3 linked regions of the Macaca mulatta genome follow. The protein of the gene in region 3 interacts with the protein of the main gene of each other region in a pairwise test. Links are inferred from orthologs where the notes say so. Each region holds a gene or a part of one and is shown on either strand. Other genes may lie near its edges. The genes, in order: PTPN9, CERT1 and RTN3.

Region 1 (6,998 bases), on a different chromosome or scaffold from region 3:
ACAGGGAAACTTTAAAGGCCTATAGGCTGGTCTTGGAGATGACAGGGACCTGACCTGCTTTTCCTCCAATTAGAAGGCCAAGGGGGAAAAGAACTGAGGGAAGCTAGGGGAGTAGCAGCAGCTTGAAAGAAGAGACTCTGAAAACACACTAAAACTGGGGAGGCTGTTTTACAGGGTATGGTGGCCCATGCCTGTAATCCTCTCATTTTGGGAGGCTGAGGCAGGAGGATCGCTTGAGGCTGGGAGTTTGAGACCAGCTTGGGCAACAGTGAGATCCTGTCTCTAGAGAGAGAGAGAGAAAAAAAAAAGCAGATTTCTTGCTTGAGCCCAGATGTTGAGACTGCAGTGAGCCATGATCATGCCACTACACTCTAACCTAGGCAACAGAGCGAGACTCTGTCTCTGGAAAAAAAAAAAAAAAAAAAAGTGGGGCGTGCCAGTGGGAGCTGACTCAACCCAAGTAAGGGCCTAATAGCTCCTCTATGGGTGTTTGCACTGTCCAACAAAGCACTGGACCCTTACAGTCAGAGGACCCATGGTAGGATCATCTGGTGTAGCCCCTTTTTTTACAGAGGGAACCTAGGACTTGGGTTGGGTTGAGTGGTAAGACCTCAAAACCACCAAAGAGCTGGGTCACTCTAGAGAAGCCTTTCTACTTGGCCAGTGCCTCTTGGCCCAATTCCCTCTAGGTCTCTGATTTATAAAAGTTTTTGTATGTGTGTCTGTCTGTCCCAATAGACAAGAAGCATCCCTTTCAGGGAAGGAACCAAATTTCCCTAGGGCTGTGATGCTAAATAGTCCATTCTCCCAAGAACAAGTCCTACTCTGTCATTTACCTGCATACTGTCACATGAAGACTGACAAGGGTGGGCCTCCTAGGCTGAGGATGCTGGCGCACCCTTCACCTCAGAAGTCCCATCCTAGCCAACAAGGATGGGCAAGATGAAGGGAGCAATGGGAAAAAGGACATGGGGATTCTCTCATGTTTGAAAAATTATATAGCATAGGAATGTTAGAGAAAGGTGAAAAAAACAGCAATCAAATCAGAAGCAGAAGCCTGCTTTAGCTCACAGTGTTTTCTTCTTTCCTGAACATTGTCTTTCTTTTTTATTTATTTACTTTTTTTGAGACGGAGTTTCACTCTTGTTGCCCAGGCTAGAGTGCAATGGCACGATCTCAGCTCACTGCAACCTCTGCCTCTCAGATTCAAACGATTCTCCTGTTTCAGCCTCCCGAGTAGCTGGGATTACAGGCACAAGCCACCGTACCCAGGTAATTTTTGTATTTTTAGTAGAGACGGGGTTTCATCATATTGGTCAGGCTGGTCTCGAACTCCTGACCTCAGGTGATCTGCCCACCTCGGCCTCCCAAACTACTGGGATTACAGGCGTGAGCCACCGCACCCAGACCCTGAACATTTTCTCTTGCTTTGTTCAGTAAGTCTCCTATATGAGAATCCCGACTTGCCAAACAGATTCTGGGTTGCGTCTCTGCCTTCCCTTTCCCTCCTCCTTTAACACCTAACACAGGTAGGATCAAACTGGTAAAAGCTACAAACAATGGCAGTGGGAGGAGTTCCTCGAGTTTTATTGAAAATTTAGGAGACATCAATTCGTTAACTCTCTACAGAGTCAGAAACATGAACTAAATCTGTGGTTCCCAAACCTGGATCATCCTGTCACTCACTAACAACCTACTGGATGGACCCAGGAATCAGCATTTTATGGAGCTCAAGTGATAGATAACCTCACCAATCTTCAGATATGCAATGAGGAATTCAAGCATAACTTTATATTCACAGGGCAGTTGGGTTACAGCCTCTTCAAATAAATGACAATTTAAAGTTACCTCCTCCAGGCCTTTTATCATTAATCCCATTTCTTACACGTTCCACTAAACCCCTAACCTCTCTGGTTTCTCAAATTTCCAAGAATCTCTGTTCACTTCTTATGTTTGTGCACTCCCAAGAGAATGGAGGCTTATCTGGAGAAGGAACTAGATTAATCTTCTGCTCTACACTTGAGCTCCTGATTATAGTAAGAAACTCAATAAAAATTTATTGGCAGATCAGAAGATGGATCCTTAGAGGAAGTCTAGTGTAAGAGTTGAAAGAAGGTACTTTGGAGTCAGATGGTCTGGATCCTGGCTGTAGCAAATTAACATTCCTGTCTCTCAATTTTTTTCTTCTGTCAATACCTACCTCAAAAGGTTGTGGAGGGTGAATGAAATGATACCTAGAAATTACTCTAAACAGTGCCTGGAATAGAGTAAGCATCCAGTAAATTGCTTGCTATGACTATTATTAAGAACACCTCAATATTTCCCAGCCACAATTGCCCCAACTGGGCAAGCCATCACCAGCCAACAGGTGTGATATGGGGAGTGGTCTTCCATGGACAAAGCTTCTGGTTCCATTCTTTCTACGAGAGAAATGCAAATGACTCAAAATCTTCTCACAAACACCATGTATCCATAGATAGGGAGTTTCCTGGGGAGAATGACAACCCTTTTGGTACTCTGCAGACATGAGGACCCTACATCAGGAGGTCCTAGCTAGGAAAGTCAGTCAGACATGAGGACCCCACATCAGGAGGTCCTAGCTAGGAGAGTCAGTCACCAACCCTGTCGCGCTTCGAGTCTACTACATGAAGCATGGGCACAAGAACAACAACCTGGAACTTAAGAACTATTTATACTCTGAAAGGACAGCTAAACAAACCTCTGTTCTCCAAAGACAAGATCTCCATCTTCCATGCAGTGAGGAGACCACAGGCTTTGTAAGCAGACCAACTTGAGCTCGTTTTAGAGCAAATCACTGTAACCCTCTGGACCTCACTTTCCTCATCTATATAGAAATGAGAAAGGGGTGCACAGGAGAAGGGAGAGAAGATAATAATATCTCACTGAATTGTTGTGAGGTTTGAATGAAGCAATGAGGAAAAAAGCACCTAGCATAGCACTTAGCACATCTCAAGCACTGAACTGGTGCTGGTCCCTCTGTCCAGATATAGGGCCATGGCTTACAGACAAGGTGAACTCATAGTGTCAGAACTCTAAGTCTCAGATACTGAAGCCTTGGGTCCCTCCCTGCCTCCCTCATCCCTCCCAGACCAGCTCCTGGACCCCCTCCCTCATGTCCCAGGCTGCTAAATTGATGAAGCTAAAAGGGTTTTGATCATGTCGGTATATTTATATGTAAATACAAAACTGTATCACTGTAAGATATTGAATATGAACATTACAATTATTTTCTGAATCTGCCTCAGTCCATTGATATTAAATACAAAAATGAAATGATTGTAAAAAATAAGAATATACACATTCAAAGAGCTTATTACAATATAAAATTATTGAGGTCTCATCAGCTGCCAACCTCATCTTCTGTGACAGGGGAAGGTTTAGGAGTTCCTGGGATTTTCTTGGGAATGTGGAGTGCTAAGGACTCTTGATTTATCCCTAGCACATAAGGATGAGTGGGCTGGGAGCAGGCAGGGACAGGCTGGGTGGGTAGGGGACAAACAGTGATTGCAGGGGACCACCTCACTCAGCCAGAGGGTAAAGCTTTTTATTGACACAGAACCCACCCAGTTTGAGGGTCTAGCAGGCTAGCAGGCAGGAAGAGATGGGCATCTCAGTAGACGGCCAAGCTTCATAAAGGAACCATCCAGCAAAAGAAAAAGGGCCCCAGCCCATCCTCCCAGGGAGGCATTTTCTTAGTAGTTTTTTCTCTCTCATACCTGGGCTACGCCTCCTTCCTTCTAAGACTTCGTACCGATTGCATGTGGCTCTGGCTGCTCAGTGAGTTCATCTCTACCCTCCGCCTCCCATCCATGGGATAGTGAAAGCAAAGAGAGAGTACGGAATCACAGTGGAGGTCTGTTCCCCAAATTGGCCAAGTAAACGCAGAAAAATCATCAGATAAGGGAAATCCATGCTGAGCTAACCCAGTGTCACCACAAACTAATACATTCGTGGCTCCAATAGGAGGGAGGTAAGTCATTACTTAAGGAAGGGGCCCCGTGGCAGGAACATGGAGAAGTGTGTGTGTCCTCTTCCACCACTCTGTAGCCTGACAACAGGAGACATGATCACCAACCCAAGCTAGTCCAGGATAAATAGCAGGGTCCAAGAAGCAAGGAGTCCTGAACTGCAACACAGAGCCCCAGGAACTTCTACAAAGGAATATCTGTGTGTATATGTATTTATAGAATACGATCATATTATCACATACAATATATATTATATACACACGTACATATGGACCCATACACATAAGTACACACACGCACACACACAGAATGACAGGACTCGAATACACGCCCTACTTATAAACGTGCTTGGCACTCAGGACGATCTCTAGAATATGTAACTTGGTCAAGCTCTCTGGGGAGAAAGGCAAATGCTCATCAAACCTCCCCATAAAATCCTAGCAAAGGGAAGGAGTGGGAGACAGGAGACCTCCAGAAAGAGAATGGTGGGAGAAAGGAGGAGGGAGGTTCCTTCCCCACTTACCTCGGGGACCCTGGCAAAAATCAATAGCCACAATTTGGTTTTAATAAGGCACAGTTCGATAGCAGGTGCTAGGAATTAAGAACACATTGCTGCTGGCCCTTTCTAGTGGCAATTTCACCACATTTATCTAGCCAAAGGGAAAGGCTGCCTTGTGTGCACACGTGTGCCGGGAGACAGAAGAAAGAAGTTGATCCATGGCTTCAGCGTAACTGATGGCAACCTATAGGCTCAGCGGTGTCCAGGGTAGTTTAAGGAAGGCTGGCCAGCAGGTAGGAGGTTCGTGGGAGAGTTACTGACCCTCCACAGCCAGCAGGTTTTGGCCAGAGGATACCATGCCCTCCTTCTCTGCGAACTCCAGGATGGCCTTGTAGCAAAAATAGTACTGCTCAGGGGTCTGGATGCTGAAGGCCCTCTGGGTCCTCATGCGTGACACCGTCTGGAACACATTAAGGGTGCCAAGCTCCTCCAGCTGTGCCAGGCAGATGTCCAGTGAGCAGAAGGTACCTGAAGAAGGAAGGAAGTGATCACATCTGGTTTACCTCTCCTCTCCTCCTCCCTCTACCAAATAACCCAGGGAGAACTGAATGAATGAATTCAAAGGCAAAGCACCTCTTGGCAGAAGGCCAGGTGGCCTTAGGCCTGAAAGGACTCGAGGAGGAGGTCACAGGGAGTGTTGGAGGCCAGAGAAATGAGAAGGCCTCTTACCTCTCAGGACATACACTGGGGTAACAGGAAGTGGAAACGGGAAGGTGACATAAGGGAACTTCCTGCTTCAATCCCAGACAGACAGACTGACAGCACTCCCACACCTAATTTCCAGAGTCCACAAGTTTTTCAGAGGCCTAACACAAACCTATTCCCAACTTTCTCCCAAAGGACCTTTGAACTAGAAAGGCCAACATTTTCTACCATGTACATGCCCTTAAGACAAAAGCTGCTAACTGGCTCCAGAATGGAGAACACAGCACAGGGTGGGGAGTCCCTCCAGGGAGGGCTATATGGGAAGGAAGCAGCAGACCAGCTGAGCTCCCTGGGATACCTGCAGCGACAGTGCTAACAAGTGACAGGATCAGCGTTATGATGGGGTATATAAAACATCAACCCCTAGAGGACTTGGCTTGTGAAATATATATTCTGGCCATCACTTGGTCCACCAAAAGGACATTAGAAGAGGGATTTTTCACAGCAATTCACCACCAAGGGAGCAAGTGAGTTCCTTCTCCAATCACAGATGTGGGCTAAGAGCTTTGTTTTTCCTCCTCCACCCCTACTGCCTCTGCAGACACCAAGAGCTGCATTAGGTGCATTACCTGTCCTGCCAATGCCTGCACTGCAATGGACCACAATGGGTGGCTCAGAGCACTGCACTTTGGAGCGTGCTCCCATGTTGCTCACAGCCAGGCTCTGCTGGTTTCTGACCACTCTCAAGAAGTCAATGAGGGAAGCTGCTGAGGAAGGGACACCATAGTCTGGCCAGCTCAAGAACTGGAAGTGGGTCACCTGGCGTTTCTGCCGTTCCTTAGATGAGAAAAGAAGTAAACGTTAACGAGGTTATTTCTGCCTGCCCCTAGCTACCACTGGCTTTTCCAGATTCTCAACACCCTGGTTATCCCTACCACCAAGGCTTCTATCCACCACTGTCAACTTTTCCCGTAACTGCTTCTTTACTATAAACCCAAAGGAAGGGTTGGTTAATTGTTTGGAAAAGGCAGAATTCCTATACTGTAAGATCCAGAATTTTTTTTTGAGACAGGATCTCACTCTGTCGCCCAGGCTGGAGTACGGTGGCATGATCAAACTTACTGCTGCCTTGACCTCACAGGCGTGTGCCACCATGATCAGCTAATTTTTTCTATGTTTTGTAGAGACGAGATCTCACTGTGTTGCCTAGATTGTCTTGAACTCCTGGGCTCAAGTGATCCTTCCACCTCTGCCTCCCAGAGTGCTGGGATTATAGACGTAAGCCATTGCATCCAGCCCCAGACTTCTTTCTTTATTTTACTTTTTTTTGAGACAGTCTCTCACTGTCGCCCAGGCTGGAGTGCAGTGGTGAGGTCTCTGCTCACTTCAACCTCCGCATTGTGAGTTCAAGCGATTCTGCCTCCCAGCTAATTTTTTCTATTTTTTAGTAGAGACAGGGTTTCACTACGTTGGCCAGGCTGGTCTTGAACTCCTGACTTTGTGATCCGCCCGCCTCAGCCTCCCAAAGTGCTGGGATTACAGGCTTGAGCCACCGCGCCCGGCCTTACCCAGCCCCAGATTTCTATAAGCTTTACTCCTATTTAATGTTCCTATTGTGCTGCAGTAATATGGCTATATTGGCTGTGAGTTAAATATCCTCATCCTGTCCCTAGAAAAACAGAAGCAACTCATAACCTCCCTGGTATCCTATCTATTCCCTCTGGAGATTTTCATTACAGTAAGTATTCTCCCCCTGTTTCAATAAGGTCAGAAAAAAGAAACCTGGATTTACCTCTGTGTTGTGA
Region 2 (8,194 bases), on a different chromosome or scaffold from region 3:
TGAATAAATCAAATGAACCTAAAACAATGTTTGACATTTTGTAGGCCTTTAGCAAATGACACTTGCTACTTACAAAAAGCTATGATGTTATTTGATTCTTTGGTCTCTGACTGATTTTAATCACGTTAGTGATTTTTTTCTTGGGCCCTGTTAATGGCAGTTCCTACAACTTCCCTTCAATTATCAACCAGGCTAAACTTATTTCATTCATCGGTTATTATTTACTGAAAACCTCCTACGTCACAGGCAATTTAAAATCTTTATTCACTTTCTACACATAATTATTGTCAGAATACCTAGACAGTAAAATGCTAGAAAACAATGACTCTACAGAAATGGTTTATATTTTACTTTTATAGTATCTCAGATGATCATATAGCAAGATCTTAATAAAGATCTTAAACAGGGATAAACTATATTTTCATAAGCTATCACCATAGCAACATGTATGCTCTATAGAAATATTTTTTCAACTTATTTGACTAAGAAGAAAAAGATTTGAAATTATAGAAGTGAAACAATAAAAGGGTTAGAAAAAAACAAGAAGCAAAACACGTTTACAAAATAACTATCATGAGGATTCTACTGATACATAAGATACCACCACACTGCTTTATATAGTATGCCTTTAAAATATTAATAAAATAATTTCTCAATCTAACAGGAAAAGCAATTCAAAAGCTAAGCAAAATAAAAACGAAAGAAAGAACATGTGTACATGCCAAGAGTGGGCACTAATACTGTTCATCAGTGTACTGTACTGTGTGATTTTTAGACTAAAAGGTTTTTCAATGTTATAGTGAAGCCTATGAAATACCAACTACCCTAACAAGTTTTTATCCCATAAACCAAACAGATATGAGTAAAAGATAAGGGAATATATTTTTCAATTTCATTGAATAGTAAGAATATTTCTCCTTGAAACATTCCTCGCCTGGCTCTCATTTGTACAACAGGAAACAGAATAAAAAGGGTGGCCTACACACCCTTTGAAATTCCATTTCTGAAATCACTGTCTTATTCTCGAATGTTAGAACTTTTTGTGGGATCTGACATATTCTCAAGTAGCTGTGAAGTGCATTAAGGTATCAATGAGTACCCCCATCTACCTCTTCCCTCCCACTTTTCCAAAAATACAGCTGCCTTTGGAACCTTAAATGGTAAAAATCAACAGATAAAGGAGTCTTAGACAGATATGCTAAGTCACCTTAAGGATCAAAGCTGCAGAATAAGACATGGCAGTATGAGCATAATACAGTAATAATTGACATTAGTAAAAGAATTCATCAATATAAATGGAGTGTGGATGGTCAGAAAAGGAAGTAAAAGAAAGCAAGATACATATTGGCAATGCCTACTTAAATATCCACTGCCACGATAGAGATAACCTAGCTTCATGCTACCAAACATTTAGAATCGTAATTAATCCCCCATTGAGGAAGTAAAAAATAGGAAACTGGGATATGGGAAAAGGTCATCAAGCCTAGATTTGAAACCAGGATATAAAGAGCTGGAATTACAGGCACCCGCCACCCTGCTCGGCTAATCTTTGTATTTTTAGTAGAGACGGGGTGGTCTCAAACTCCCGGCCTCAGGTGATCCGCCCAACTCGGCCTCCCAAAGTGCTGGGATTACAGGCGTGAGCCACGGCACTCGGCTAGCGTTTTCCCTTAGACTCGAAATTTCGCTCCTATTGTCCCATCCTTGTAGTAAAAAAGGTATTCTTTCTAAGGCTTAATAACAAATTTTACTCTTGGCAATTATCAGGAACTCGACTATATTAAAATAGCTAACGAGAGGAAATTACTGAAGCTACAAAGTCAAAGGTCTCACCATCAAAGTTATCCTTGACAACTGACAAGAGCTGTTAGATCTTCTTTTGGTCTTTCTGCTAATTCAACCCTAGTCTTAAAAATAGCCACCTATTGCCTAATCCCCTAATCTCGTATTTCTAATACGAGAAAGTTTCTATATATCCAAACTTTCCTATCTTTGAGGGGCAGGCATGGTTAACGTGGTTCTCAGTAAGATATTCATTTACAACTAAGAGAAAATCCCAGGCTATCATCTGACATTCTTGTTTTACTTTAAAAACCTTTCTAACGTTATTTATTCTCTGACAACCTCAAAATTACTTTCCACAAAGAAAATTCTAGAAATCTAAAAATGCGAAGTGCGTGCTTGTCAGAAGGTACTAAGGAAATTCTTCCTTTAAACGTCAAATGTGAATTCTAACTTCTAATGGGTAAGACCCTCGAGATTTACAGCGGTGGTCTGGTGGAAAGAAAACCCCCTTGGCACTAGGAGCTCACAAAACCCCATCCCGTGGTTGAGGCGGAAGCGGCTACGCGCTCCCGGGCTTTCGACAAGCAGCCCTGCAACGCAGGCCCGTCATCTTCAGCAGAAAGCTCTCTCACGTCCTGGCCCGCAAGCCCGGAGGGTTCGTCATAAACACACAAGGCAAGGATAGAAGCGAGGCCAAGAGGCAGGTCACGCAACTGTCAAACGAAGCCCACCCACCGACTGACAAGTCCCCAAGGCGACAAGCGATCCCCGCGCGGGATACTCACCCGTTACCTCAGGATCGCGACTACAACTCCCAGGAGGCTGGGCGAGCGACGAACCAACGCCCTTCCCAGAATGCAGCACAGCGGCATCCCTATCCCGCCCTCTCCTTACTGCGCTCCTCCTACTTTTCTACCCCTCGTCATCCGGGAGAGCCGGAGGTAGGGTGCGGGAGGAGGATCCCGCACGCTTGGCGTGTCGCGTCAGACGCCGGGAGGGGGACGGGGCGGGGAGGAGGAGGGGAGAATGGGAGGACGAAGGGGAGGGGAAAGGACAGGGGAGGGGAGGGTAAATAGTGGGCCAGGCAGCAAGATGGCGGCGGTAGCGGAGGTGTGAGTGTACTCGGGTCTCAGCGGCCGGATTTTCTCTTCCCTTCTTCTCCCTTTTCCTTCGCTATTTGAAATTGGCATCGAGGGGGCTAAGCTCGGGTGGCAGCACCGGGCGCAACGCAGGGGTCCCGGCGACGGCGGCGGCGGCTGACGGCTGGAAGGGTAGGCTTCCTTCACCGCTCGTCCTCCTTCCCCGCTCCGCTCGGTGTCAGGCGCGGCGGCGGCGCGGCGAGCGGACTTCGTCCCTCCTCCTGCTCCCCCCCACAGCGGAGCTGGCACTCTTCGCTTCGCCATCCCCCGACCCTTCACCCCGAGGACTGGGCGCCTCCTCCGGCGCAGTTGAGGGAGCGGGGGCCGGTCTCCTGCTCGGCTGTCGCGCCTCCATGTCGGATAATCAGAGCTGGAACTCGTCGGGCTCGGAGGAGGATCCAGAGACGGAATCTGGGCCGCCTGTGGAGCGCTGCGGGGTCCTCAGTAAGGTGAGCAACCGGTGGTGCCAGGGGACCCCTGGCCAGACTCACCTGCCGCGAGGCAATCCGCTGAGGCGGTGGGGTGGGGCTGGCGGGAGGCGCGGAACGTGCCGGGGTGCGAGGCTGAGTACTGCTGCGGCGACTAGGGATGAGGCGGGGATATAGGGGGCCTGTCCTTGCTGCCCGAGGGCTCGTCGGGGGCAGCCGAGGACCAGGGAAAGGGTGTATCAACCGGGGATCCAGTTTGGGAGACCAGATGCGTGCCGTGCCTTGGGACCTAGGGCGGCAGCTGTCCCGGGTGTAAGGAATCCGGGTTGGGCTTCAGCGGTGTCCGAACGACTGGGCACGGGAGCGGTTCAAGTCGGACCTCTTAAAAGAGGTTGGTCTGTCTGAGGATGCTAAGCCGAGTAGGTTGGGGGGCACTGCGGACGCAGCTGTTTCGACAGAAGCCGGAGCGACTCAGCTTGGTGTTGAAATTTGAGGTGTTGAACTCGCCAGGTTAGATGTAGTGAGACAGATTAATGTGGAGGACTTTCTCCCTCACCCTGTACCTTAGTTCAGAATAGAGATATTGAATCGGCACGTGATGGGTACAGGAAATATTCATAGTAACTTGAAACATGTGAGAAAGGAGACTGATCTTTAGTCCAGGAAGAAGAGCATTATTTAATAATAAACTCTTTTTGCGGTAAGGGGTCCAGGGTAAGGAAAAGATGTTTTACCTTTTATGTATTTTTTAAAATCCGTGTATCAAAATTTTAGGAAAGCAGCCATTATAGAACTGCAGATGGGTGATCTCTTGATATTACGTGGTTGGGATTTTTTTTTTTTTTAAGTTTTTGCTATAAGAAGATTCACATAGCCTTTTGGACTTCTCTCCCCCTTCCTGTTAAACTTTTTTAGAAATGGCTGGAGCTAGCAGTTAACTTGGAGAGGGGGAGCTGGGCCAGTCCCTCAACAAGCTGGTCATAAGATACTATGTCATGTGCAGCTACTGGCTATTAAGAAATCACCCTGTTTCCAGTATTCATACTTTGGCACATCACTTGGACATTATTTGTGGAATTGTTTAATATAATGCTTTTATAATGTCTGTAGAAAGCTAATGAGAAGGGAACTAGAAAAGGCATGAGTAGTCAGAACTAAGGATTGCAAGTGTTGACTTTTATTTGTATAGCCGAAAAATTAGTTGTATATTGATGCTGTGATCATTCTTGAAATTTCAATGCAAGGTTTTCAGTAACGAGAAGCTCCTCAGGATTTCTTTACATTAAATGTATCCTGTAATTTAGGAATCTCTATTGAACACATTGTGTAGTAGGTACACATTTTCAGTTGATAATAGGAAGTGGGTTACTTGCTTCTCAGTGATTTTGATAGTTTCATCACTGCTCATAAGATGGGAAGCTGACTGCCATATTAGTAATGTGATGTGTTGAGTATTTTACAAAACAAATTGTAATTTTGACCTACTGATAATTACTTTTTTGGGGGTTGGGGGAATGGAGTGACTGGGGGAAAAAGTCACCAGTGCTCTGAGTTTTACTTTATGTGGAGTAGGTATACTATAGATCAAAAAATGGAAGACCAATCTCGATATTTAAATGCATACAAATGCATTTGATCACCTCTGTGGAAGGTGAATAACTTAAATTTTGACTGTTGCTTCTTATGTAGAATGAATAGGAATACAGCTTTTGGTATTCTTGCTAATAGCTATGAAGGAAATTTTCCTGAGATTTACCAATTTATGGTTATATACAGTGTTTTCTGGAAACTTTTTAATCAAGGGTATTCTAAATTGAATATATATACTCATACTGAGTATGGTGCATGTTTTTAAATGTAAATTATATATTTTGAATTCTTCATATTCACCTGGTAATTTAAACAAGGATCAGAACTCGGCTTTTGTTCTTTTCCTTCCATTGAATAATGTAAATAAGTCCCGGTACAATTTGTTTCGTTTGTCCCCCAAAATGGGGTGGATTTGGAATGGGCTTGGGTAAATTTATATTAGAAATATACCAGTTCAAAGGGTATTTTCCATATGGTAATCTGAAATATATGGAAATACCTATGAAGCATATTTCTTATAAATCACTTAAGTGTATAGATTCCAAAAATACTTGATAGACAATAATTCTGTCTGGTTATAACAAGTATCGTGATGGATCATGGTGGGGAAAAGATGCATGCCTTAGTAGGACTTGAGAGCAACTAAGGCTGGATAAAATAATCTCATTCAATTTCTGAATTTCCTCCATCCTTCATGGTTTACCTTCTGTTTTTGCACACACTAAACTGTTTGAAATTCTATCCATCCTTAAGAGTCCAAGTCAAATACTGTCCTTTCCGTAAAGCCTTTTTGTATTTTGCCATCATTCAAGACCTCCTTCACTTGAATTCCCATAGCATTTTGTTTTATTCTAAATATATATTTTTTTCTCTTGTGTTTGTGTTTGCTGGCCTGTTTGCCACAGTAACATTCAGTTCTCCTGCAATGTCTAGCATATTGCCTTGTCTGTATTTGTTAAATGGGGAAGAGTGAGGGAACATTATGAGAGCAGAGAAAAGACAAAAAACTTGTCTTCCAGGTGTCATAATAACAGCTAACAGCTTACTGAGAAAAGAGTCCTGAAGCTGATATAGTTTGTTCAGCCTCTTACAAGAACATAATATTGAATTACGGATACATAATTGCTGGGGTCCCTTCTCTAATATTGAAAGAGTTCTGTTCTAGTGAGAAATGCTGAAGGTTAAGCTTCATTAGCCATGTATAACTCTTCCTCAGATTCAGAAAATACTATGTCCAGGCACTGTTCTAAGTCTATTCTTGTTTAAACTTAACTCTGAGAGACAGAGTTTGACAAAGAAAAGAACACAGAGTAAGTAACTTGACCACTATCACAAAATTTAGCCTTATGAAGTGTGGTAATTATAAATGAGGTAAGATTAATCCATGGTGGGTCTTGAATGCCCTAAACAATTTGTATGACAGTCAGTGGGAAGTTGTCCATGTAAGTTTTGGAGCTGGAGACTCAATACGGTCAACATGTAAGAAAAGTAAGCAAACATGCTTAGTAAGTAAATAAGCTTGTGTAAATTATGAAAAACACAGAAGATACTAGAGAAAAGATTAAGTCCTGTAAGGAATACAGGAACTGGGTAATTTGATTGGAATAGTTGAAAATGAGAAGAGGAGGCAAATTTAAGGGTTTACTATGAAGGAAAGATAAGCAGGTTTTGGTGATGGGCTATAAATATTGAGAAGGAACACTTAGGAGTATCTTCTGTGACTATGCTAGGCATTTTCATTATTTTATTCAGCCATCAATCAACAGGCAAAGAAACTGAAGCTTACAAAAGTAACTTGTCAAAACTCTCTTCACGTGAGTTGTAGAGTAGTTGAGCCTGTTTAATCCTGTATACACTAATCTGTTTGTATATCTAATACACAGACTCTGAGCAGAAGTAGCAGGAAAGAAGAAGTAGGAAAATAGGAAGGAAGTACACCTTATAGAAGTAAATTCAGTTTTGTTGGTAACTATCATTTATTTCAACCCTTTGTCTAAGTGGTGGTACATCACAAGCGGTTAGAAATAAGGAAGTGGTGATTAGGAGCCACTAGAATGAGTTAAATTGTCAGCTTGGATGAGTTCTCAGAGAGGGGTTGTAATGATGGGGCTTAGAAAAATTAAGAACTGGCTAGGGATGGTGGCTCACCTGTAGTCCCAGCACTTTGGGAGACCAAGGAAAACAGATCCTTGAGCCCAGGAGTTTGAAACCAGCCTTGGCACCATAGTGAAACCTCATCACTACAAAAAGTTAGCCAGACGTGGGGGCACGCACCTGTAGTCTCAATCACTTGGGAAGAGGAGGAAGGAAGATTGAGCCCGGGAGGTTGCAGTGAGCTGAGATGGTGCCACTGCACTCCATCCTGAGTGACAGAGTGAGACCCTGTCTCAAAAAAATACAAAATAAAAGAAAATTTAAGAACTGAATAAATCTCAAAAATGCTTAATTAGAGAATAGAAAAAGATTTCTCAGTGGATATAGAGCCTGAGCCAATGCAGTATATTTTGGCAATCCATTTTTAATTAGTTTTTGGAATTGGCAGATAGTTTTGAGATTTTTCTATACTTAAAACCCCAGAGCATAGATAAAAACATGCAAAAATAAGTAGTCCTGTAAAGGTTACATTTCTCCCTTTTCCAGTTTATTGTGATGTTCACTGTGCAGCAAGACTTTAGCAACACAGAAACTCTTTTAAGGTATTGAAGGCAATCCTATATGTTTTTGAAAACCAATTTTATTTTTGTTTTATTACTCTTGAGTTTGAAAAATATATGTTCAGAGAAACTTGGAAAATGAATTGGCCATTTTAAATATTATTCAGTTCTGTAGAGGAGAAGTTAAAGTTGATGCCAACTTACTAAAGATTATTATTTTTATTTTGATATAGTTATGACCATTATAAATTTTCATATGGGAATAACAACAAAAGTAGAGTTTAGTAATAATTGACTTTATACTTCCGTTGATTTAGAAGGCTTCATGCAGTCTTTGGTGTCAGAAAATGAGAGACTCCATACCTAACTGAACATACTTCTCTGTTGAATATGTTAATTATGACAAGGACCAAAACAAGTATCATGAAGGTACTTAGGAGAGGATGAAAGCACACAGAGAACAAACAATAATTTTAACCAAAATCTGGCTTTTGTTTTATTCTTCAAATGTTAGAAGAAAATGATATATTTTGTTTCTTAACAGTTTATTTATAATATTGTAAAAATTACTGAAAATCATTATGCAATCTAGAAAATC
Region 3 (7,533 bases):
TAAAACTTAAGAAGATAAATCTACCTACAGTCTCCAGTAAGGAAATGCCCTTATAAAAAGTAAATAGTATAATCAAACACAAAATACATTTAGCCTAAAAAAATCTAATTTTCTTATAAATTCTACAACTCTGTATATGATTTCATTTGAAAAAGGATCTATAATCAAATAGTTTAAAAACCACAGACCTCTACATAGCACCTAACACTGACCATATAGTAGATGTAAAACTTGGTATTACATTAAAGGATGGGGGTCCCTTGTAGAGGGGCTTGAAAGATCCTTTTTTTTTTCTTGTACTTTCCAAGACCCCAGAACAGACAGCAATTTGCAGTAATCTAACTGAAAGCCACTTGATAGAAAAGTGATCATTTGAAATAGATAAAAGACAAGAGAGGGGGTTTCTAGTACCATCCAATAATGAGTTTTGGCCTGAAGAATATTAAATAAGATAGAAAGTAGAAGAACGCATGAGTTCTCCTAAGCATTACTCACAAAATAGTACTACAATACTGGCTACCTACTTTCAGGGCATAAAATCTCTATAGTATATGATCACATTAATTAAAAGTTTCATTTACTATCTTTCCCAGCAGGAATTCCTTTATCTTTGATTGCTAAGATTCCACAAGGCACATATCAAAAAACTCAAGTGCTAAAAAGTGTGACTATTGTGGAGATTTAAAAATAAGCTTTGTACATAAGTAAGAACCTGATGATATTAGGTTCTCAACTAATATCACCCTAGGGCCAACCTATAAGAAAAGAAGTAGACCGGGAGCGGTGGATCACACCTGTAATCCCAACACTTTGGGAGGCCGAGGCGGGCGGATCACAAGGTCAGGAGATCGAGACTACGGTGAAACCCCGTCTCTACTAAAATTACAAAAAATTAGCTGGGCGCGGTAGTGGGTGCCTGTAGTCCAAGCTACTCAGGAGGCTGAGGCAGGAGAATGGCGTGAACCCGGGAGGCAAAGCTTGCAGTGAGCCGAGATCGCGCCACTGCACTCCAGCCTGGGGGACGCAGTGAGACTCCATCTCAAAAAAAAAAAAAAAGAAAAGTAGTAACTGGCCAGACGCGGTGGCTCATGCCTGTAATCCCAGCACTTTGGGAGGCCAAGTGGGCAGATCACAAGGTCAGGAGTTCGAGACCAGCCTGGCCAATATGGTGAAACCCTGTCTCTATTAAAAATACAAAAATTAGCCTGACATGGTGGCTGACACCTGTAGTCCCAGTTACTCGGGAGGCTAAAGCAGGAGAATTGCTTGAACCCGGGAGGTGGAGGTTGCGGTGAGCCAAGATCTCGCCACTGCATTCCAGCCTGGGCGACAGAGCAAGACTCTGTCTCAAAAAAAAAAAAAAAAAAAGAAAGAAAAGAAAAGTACCTTGAAATATAACTGGAGCATAGAAAAAATTTTTGGGAAATATTGGTATTAAGGAAACCAAATCAAGTAATCATTTAAAAAAAGACGAGAGAGGAGTCTGCCTTTCCCATCATACAGTATATTATATTTGTATTCTAGCCATAATTTTGTAGGTATAAATCAGACTCTAACATAAACGGCACGCTGATAAGTAATCAATCACAGAATTAACCACATGCAGTATTCTAATATAAATGGTTACCTGAGAAGTCTGTCAGAAGTCTTGCTAGGACATGCTTTTTTACCAATTCAGTCTTGCTAAGGCTGGAAACAGCATCTACCCTAGAAGTTTCTCTGACAGTAGTGGGTTTTTGGGAAATCCCAAGATCGGATCCATTCTTGACATTATGTTCTAGGATGTCATATGATCTCTGTGGCCAAGATTCTGGAGCAAATGTGAAAGTTTGCTTCAGTACTTCTTCAGAAGGCAATTCTGCGTCATGCTGTGCAGAAGCTGACTTCTCAACCTGTCTTTCACCTAATTCTTTAAGAGCCTTAATTGTGAGCTGTTCTTGTTCTAAGTCAAGAGATGCTACTGGAGTACCTTGGGTAGGGAAAACACTTAGAGGCTCACTTCCATTTGTTTGTTTGTTTTGTTCACTGTATTTGCTTCCAATGCCTTTAATTTCAGAACCACTGGACTCACTTTCATGTAAGACTTCTACAGGAGGAGTTGTTTTAAAGTCTGTCATCTTCTCTGATATTGCTTTAAAGGCATTTCCTTCACTATCTACTATTCCTTTATCTCTGGTTTCTGTAAAGGCTGCTATCAGGTCCTCTGGGGAGGAATCATCTATATGTTTAACATTTTTCCCATGTAATGACTCCAAGTAGGCAGATGTTGTCACATTTAATGAGAATTCTGTCTCATTAAAAACATTTGGAGACACTGTTGAAGGAAGTTTGGGGTTCTCAGTAGTAACAGGCTTTTCAGGAGCAACTTCACTCACATCTTCTAAGCAGACATTTATATTGAGTACTTTTGCTGCCTCACTAGCTGGACTCCTTCCAAGAATATCAGGTTGCTCTTGATGCAGCTCAGAGTCACTGACCAACTCTTGAAAATTTTTAGATGTTTTTTCTACTCTCTTACAACTGGGAATCTCTTTGATTTCTCTTTCACCTGTTTTTACAACAGCACTTGGAATGGAAACAGGTTTTTCAGCTTGAATTTTCTTATTTTCAAATGATAGATCTGCTGTGATGTCCTCTATTACTGTGTCATCAGACTCACCAGAACTATCAGCTTCTGTGATTTCTCCCAATGCAGAGCTCTGCCAGTTCATTTCATCTTTCAGGTGGTCATCAGGTAAAACCACTTTCACTGTGGCCACTCCAGAACCCAAAGAGTCACATTTCTCAGGTGGAGATCCAGGTAATTCTGCAAGTGTGTCACCCTGTTTCTGCATACTGCCTTGCACACCTTTGATACTGAATTCTTTTGTGGAATTGAAAGAGTCGGGTATAGGTTTTCCAGTGATAGCATTTTCTTGTAGGAGAGATGCTTCTGTCCAATCACCTGTTGATTCAGTGATGGGAGTGCTCCCATTAATAGAACATACAGGAATTTTCTGATGAGTGTTAACTTTAAGATTTACAACTGGAATTTCAGAATTATATTCACTCATGTCAAGTCCTGTAGTTTTTGTGATGCAGTCAGAAGATTTATCAGTCTGTTGTTTCACTTGGGGAACCAGATCCCAAGTCAGTATTTCGTTAGTAAAGTTATGCATATCATTCACGCATCTAGACACCTCTTCCAGTGCTGCATTTGTGTGTGAAAACTGCCTACTGAGCAATGCAGACATTTGGTAACGTCCTGCCTCTTTATTTCTCAGTGGAAAAAGCTTGTCATTAGTCTCTGAAATGTCTTCGGATGATTCTCTATCAGTGTGCATAGACCAGCTACCAAAATCATCTGTGCTCTCCTTATACGAGTCTTTAAATTCTTTGTCAAATGCTGCTTTGTCAATAATTACTTCAAATGGTGATTCAGGGGAATCCTTTTCAATAACACCATCTCCTGAAACTTTGGATGGGGACAAAGAGTATGTATAAATGCCTTCTACCTTAGAGTATTCAGTAGGTGGTTTTTGGGCTGTTAGCAAAGTGAATCTGTCATCAGCATCCAATGCGGTTTTAGCTTCCCTACTTGATACCTCATTTGGGTTCTTGGTCTCTTTATCTATTTGCTCTTCCACTTGACCAATTTTCTTTGAAAGCAAAGCAGGATGCTCTGGGAAACTGGCTGGAATAGAAGGACGGTCACAATGAACTCCTGCTGCAAGAGAAATTGGAGAGTCTGACATGTTGTTGCTGATCCCCTGAGGCTTTTCCATCTTTTTCATATCCAGAAGATCCAAGTGGTCTTTTCCTTCTTTGGCTAAAATAGGCTGGCTCCCTAACACATTGCTTTTTTCTCCATGTAGTATTGTAAGGCCATTGTTATGTATTTCAGAAGATGAAAGAAAGGAAGATGTCATAATTTCTGAAGATGGCTCATCAGAACAAAGAGAGCTCAAGAATTTCAAAGAAAATAATTGTTTACCAGGTACAATTACACATTAGCTAGCCAAGCCAAGCAGCATGCTTTTTATTTTTTAAATTACATAAATATATATATATACACACACACAGGATGTATATATACACACATAAATATGTAACAAAATGATCAAGTTATCCTACAGGACATGCATAAAGCTGCCAACAGTGAAACAGAAAAGCCATATCATGCCACAAACTGCAAGTAACAAAAAAATTTCCTAACAAACACTTTTTGGACTACTTTTCCATTGTAAAGAGAAAGCATAAAGAAGGGCGGAAAGATTGAGAAATCTTGGGAGGTTTTTTATTATTTTGGTAGAGCTAATCAACAAAAGCAAATAATTGATACAAAATAAATAACCTGATACTATAAAGAGTTGATAGACTTTAATCTGTAAGCTGAACAATTCAGAGCACAGACTGCCTCTGTAAATCCACTATTATAGTCTCACAATCTGAGAAGGAAAAAAACAAGTGGCCAGACTTGTTTTTGATTTTTAGGAGATGCAGTAGACCCTCTCTGACCTGAAAATGAGACTAGAATTATTCTATTCTATCCACAGGAAGAATCTGTCCCATGTACAAATAAATAGCTGTGATGTTCTAAACTAAAGCGTACTGAAAAAGGTGGACCCCCTCCAAAATCTTTTTTTTTTTTTTTTTTTTAATACAGAGTCTTTTTCTTGTCGCCCAGGCTGGAGTGTAATCGCATAATCTCAGCTCACTGCAACCTCCACCTCCCAGGTTCAAGTGATTCTCCTGCCTCAGTCTCTCAAGTAGCTGGGATTACAGGCAGGTACCATCAAGCCTGGTTAATTTTTGTATTTTTAGAAGAGACGGTGTTTCACCATGTTGGCCAGGCTGGTTTTGAACTCCCAACCTCAAGTGATCTACCCACCTTGGCCTCCCTAAGTGCTGGGATTATAGGTGTGAGCTGCCACGCATGGCCCCTCCAAAATCTCTTGTACTAACTTGTCATTGAAATCAATATTGTACTGTGCAAATTGATTTCTTTGGTTAAGAGAGAGTTAACTGGGCCGGGTGCAGTGGCTCACCTGAGGTCAGGAGTTCGAGACCAGCCTGACCAAAATGGTGAAACCTTGTCTCTACTAAAAATATAAAAAAATTAGCCAGGCGTAGTGGCAGGCACCTGTAATCCCACCTACTCAGGAGGCTGAGGCAGGAGAATCCTCTGAACCTGGGAGGCGGGCACTGCAGTGAGCTGAGGTCGTGCCATTGCACCCCAGCCTGAGTAACAAAAGTGAAACTCCATCTCCACACACATACACACAAAAAAGAGTGACCTCCAGAATTACTTTTAAAATAGAAAATATCCTTCTCAAAGTAATATGTTGTCTTAGTAGTTAATAAGCCATCAATCTACCACGCTGTTTTCTAACTTCCTACTCTAACAAGTTTTTACTGGGGAAAAGGATCAAAACAAATATCCCAAGGGCTGGTGCTTTCTTACTTCACTTATTTGTTTGTATTTGAGACAAGGTCTTCCTCTGTCCTCCAGGCCAGAGTGCAAGTGGTGCAATTGTGGCTCATTGCAGCCTTGACCTCCTGGCCTCAAGCTATCCTCCCACCTCAGCCTCCCAAGTAGCTGGGACCACAGGCACATGCCACCACACCTGGCTAATTTTTAAACTTTCTGCAGACATGGTGCCTCGCTACATTGCCAGGTTGGTCTCAAACTACTGGGTTCAAGCAACCTGCCCACCTTGGCCTCCCAAAGCACTGGGATTATAGGCATGAGCCACCAAGCCCAGCCCTGGGCGCTGTCTTTCTTGCATATTGTTGTATCTTTGGAGCTGGAACAAAGTGGGTCTTAAATAAATAGCCCCAAATAAGTGAATCAAAGATTCAGCTTGGTCAGCTGAGACCTAAGTAGGCTCAGGACAGCAATGCCTTGAGCATGAATAACTGGGAAAAATGTGACAGAGAAGTTCTTTTAGGATTATCTTTATTCAGTCTATATTCTCTTTTTCATGTAAACATCCGAATACCAGATAAAAGCAAAATTATGACGTCATTCAAAATTATTTTATTAAAGACAAAAATATTTTACAATAAATAAAATTCCACTATTATAAAAATGTTTTGAAATGCCATATAAAGTTCCCCTACTTCAACACATCACTGAAATTTGATGTAATAAGAGCTGAGCTTTAGAAATAGTATAACTGAAACCTGGTTATTAGAATAAAAAGCCTTTGTACGTTAAGGAAAACAGTTAAAGCTTGGTGGCAAAGCTATATTACCAAAACAAAACACTTGAAGTAAACTATAACTCATATGTAGTTCTAATTTAGTAAAACATGGTTTGCATCTGCCATTATATAGTATGGATATTCAGCATGACTAGATTAGGGCATAACAGAAATGAAGCCCAGCACTGTAGGTTAAAAGGTTCAAACATCTGAAGTATAAAGTACTACAGATTACATTTAAATCAGAAATATTCCACAATCTGAGCCATGCATTGTTACTGAAGCTACTAGTCAGTGTTTCTACCAGAAAGCATTCAGTGAACTACGGTTATTGTAAAACTGTTTGGAAACCTCTCTCTCTCTTCAAACAACTCTGAGGTAAGTCAAACTGACTCCACCCCACAGGGAAGGTTCAGCTTATATGTTTTTTTAATGTGTTTTTTGTGTGCTTTTTTAAGACAGAGTCTAGTTCTGTCGCCCAGGATGGAGTGCAATGGTGTAATCTCGGCTCACTGCAACCTCCGCCTCCCAGATTCAAGCAATTTTCCTGCCTCAGCCTCCCGAGTAGCTGGGATTACAAGCGTGCACCACCACACCTGGCTAATTTTTTGTATTTTTAGTAAAGATGTGGTTTTACCACACTGCCCAGGCTGGTCTCGAACACCTGAGCTCAAGCAGTCCGCTCGCCTCAGCCTCCCAAAGTACTAGGATTACAGGCATGACCCACTGCGCCCAGCCAGCTTATGGAGATGGAGATTTCAGATGATTCAGATCTGTCATCTTACAGATGAAAGTCTACAAAATGAATTAGCAATAATTCAAGAGGTATTTATTGAGTGCCTACCACGTGCCAGACATTGTTTTAGAAACTGGGCTTAAAGCAGTGAATAAAACAGAAAAAATTTCTTGCCTTTATGGAGCTTACAACACAGAGGGGAAGGCAGACAATAAGCAAAATCAATAAGTAAAATGATGATGACAGTGATATAGTGGTGATGGTGCTTGATTAAACTAAAAAGAAAGCAACCAAATTGAATGCTAACCAAAGAATATTCACATCACTGGGAAGAGCATGGTAAAACTGTCTATGCTTTAGCAGGACACAAACTGGTCAGTTTATCAGTTTTGCTTTTCTCTTAACTTTCTTGAACTTTTAGTACTCCAAAAGCTTCAAGTTAGGTGTAGAATAATCTTAGGTAAAACTAAAGATAACGTTAGAAGTCCTATATTCAGAATACTAAGAAGTCCTCTACTGAGCACCATAATGGCCTGACAGACTTCAAACATTAAAGATTATTTAGGCTGGGTGTGGTGGCTCACGCCTATATCTCAGAACTTTGGGAGGCAG

Evidence for each region.
Region 1: the proteins of RTN3 (region 3) and PTPN9 interact in binary tests that used the Homo sapiens proteins (3 or more experiments, as listed by UniProt). The two-hybrid records come from large-scale screens. The link is inferred for Macaca mulatta from reciprocal best matches to the Homo sapiens genes RTN3 and PTPN9.
Region 2: the proteins of RTN3 (region 3) and CERT1 interact in binary tests that used the Homo sapiens proteins (3 or more experiments, as listed by UniProt). The link is inferred for Macaca mulatta from reciprocal best matches to the Homo sapiens genes RTN3 and CERT1.

Annotation. Positions count from the first base shown.
Region 1 is NC_133412.1:53,507,957-53,514,954, forward strand, and holds the end of PTPN9 (tyrosine-protein phosphatase non-receptor type 9), read right to left. Parts: coding exon 6,986-6,998; intron 6,031-6,985; coding exon 5,823-6,030; coding exon of another isoform or gene 5,784-5,822; intron 5,043-5,783; coding exon of another isoform or gene 5,017-5,042; coding exon 4,802-5,016; 3' UTR 3,170-4,801; downstream 1-3,169. UniProt on the Homo sapiens protein: Protein-tyrosine phosphatase that could participate in the transfer of hydrophobic ligands or in functions of the Golgi apparatus.
Region 2 is NC_133411.1:81,909,570-81,917,763, reverse strand, and holds the start of CERT1 (ceramide transfer protein), read left to right. Parts: upstream 1-2,855; 5' UTR 2,856-3,277; coding exon 3,278-3,373; intron 3,374-8,194. UniProt on the Homo sapiens protein: Shelters ceramides and diacylglycerol lipids inside its START domain and mediates the intracellular trafficking of ceramides and diacylglycerol lipids in a non-vesicular manner.
Region 3 is NC_133419.1:10,699,172-10,706,704, forward strand, and holds part of RTN3 (reticulon-3), read right to left. Parts: intron 3,943-7,533; coding exon 1,628-3,942; intron 1-1,627. UniProt on the Homo sapiens protein: May be involved in membrane trafficking in the early secretory pathway. Inhibits BACE1 activity and amyloid precursor protein processing. May induce caspase-8 cascade and apoptosis.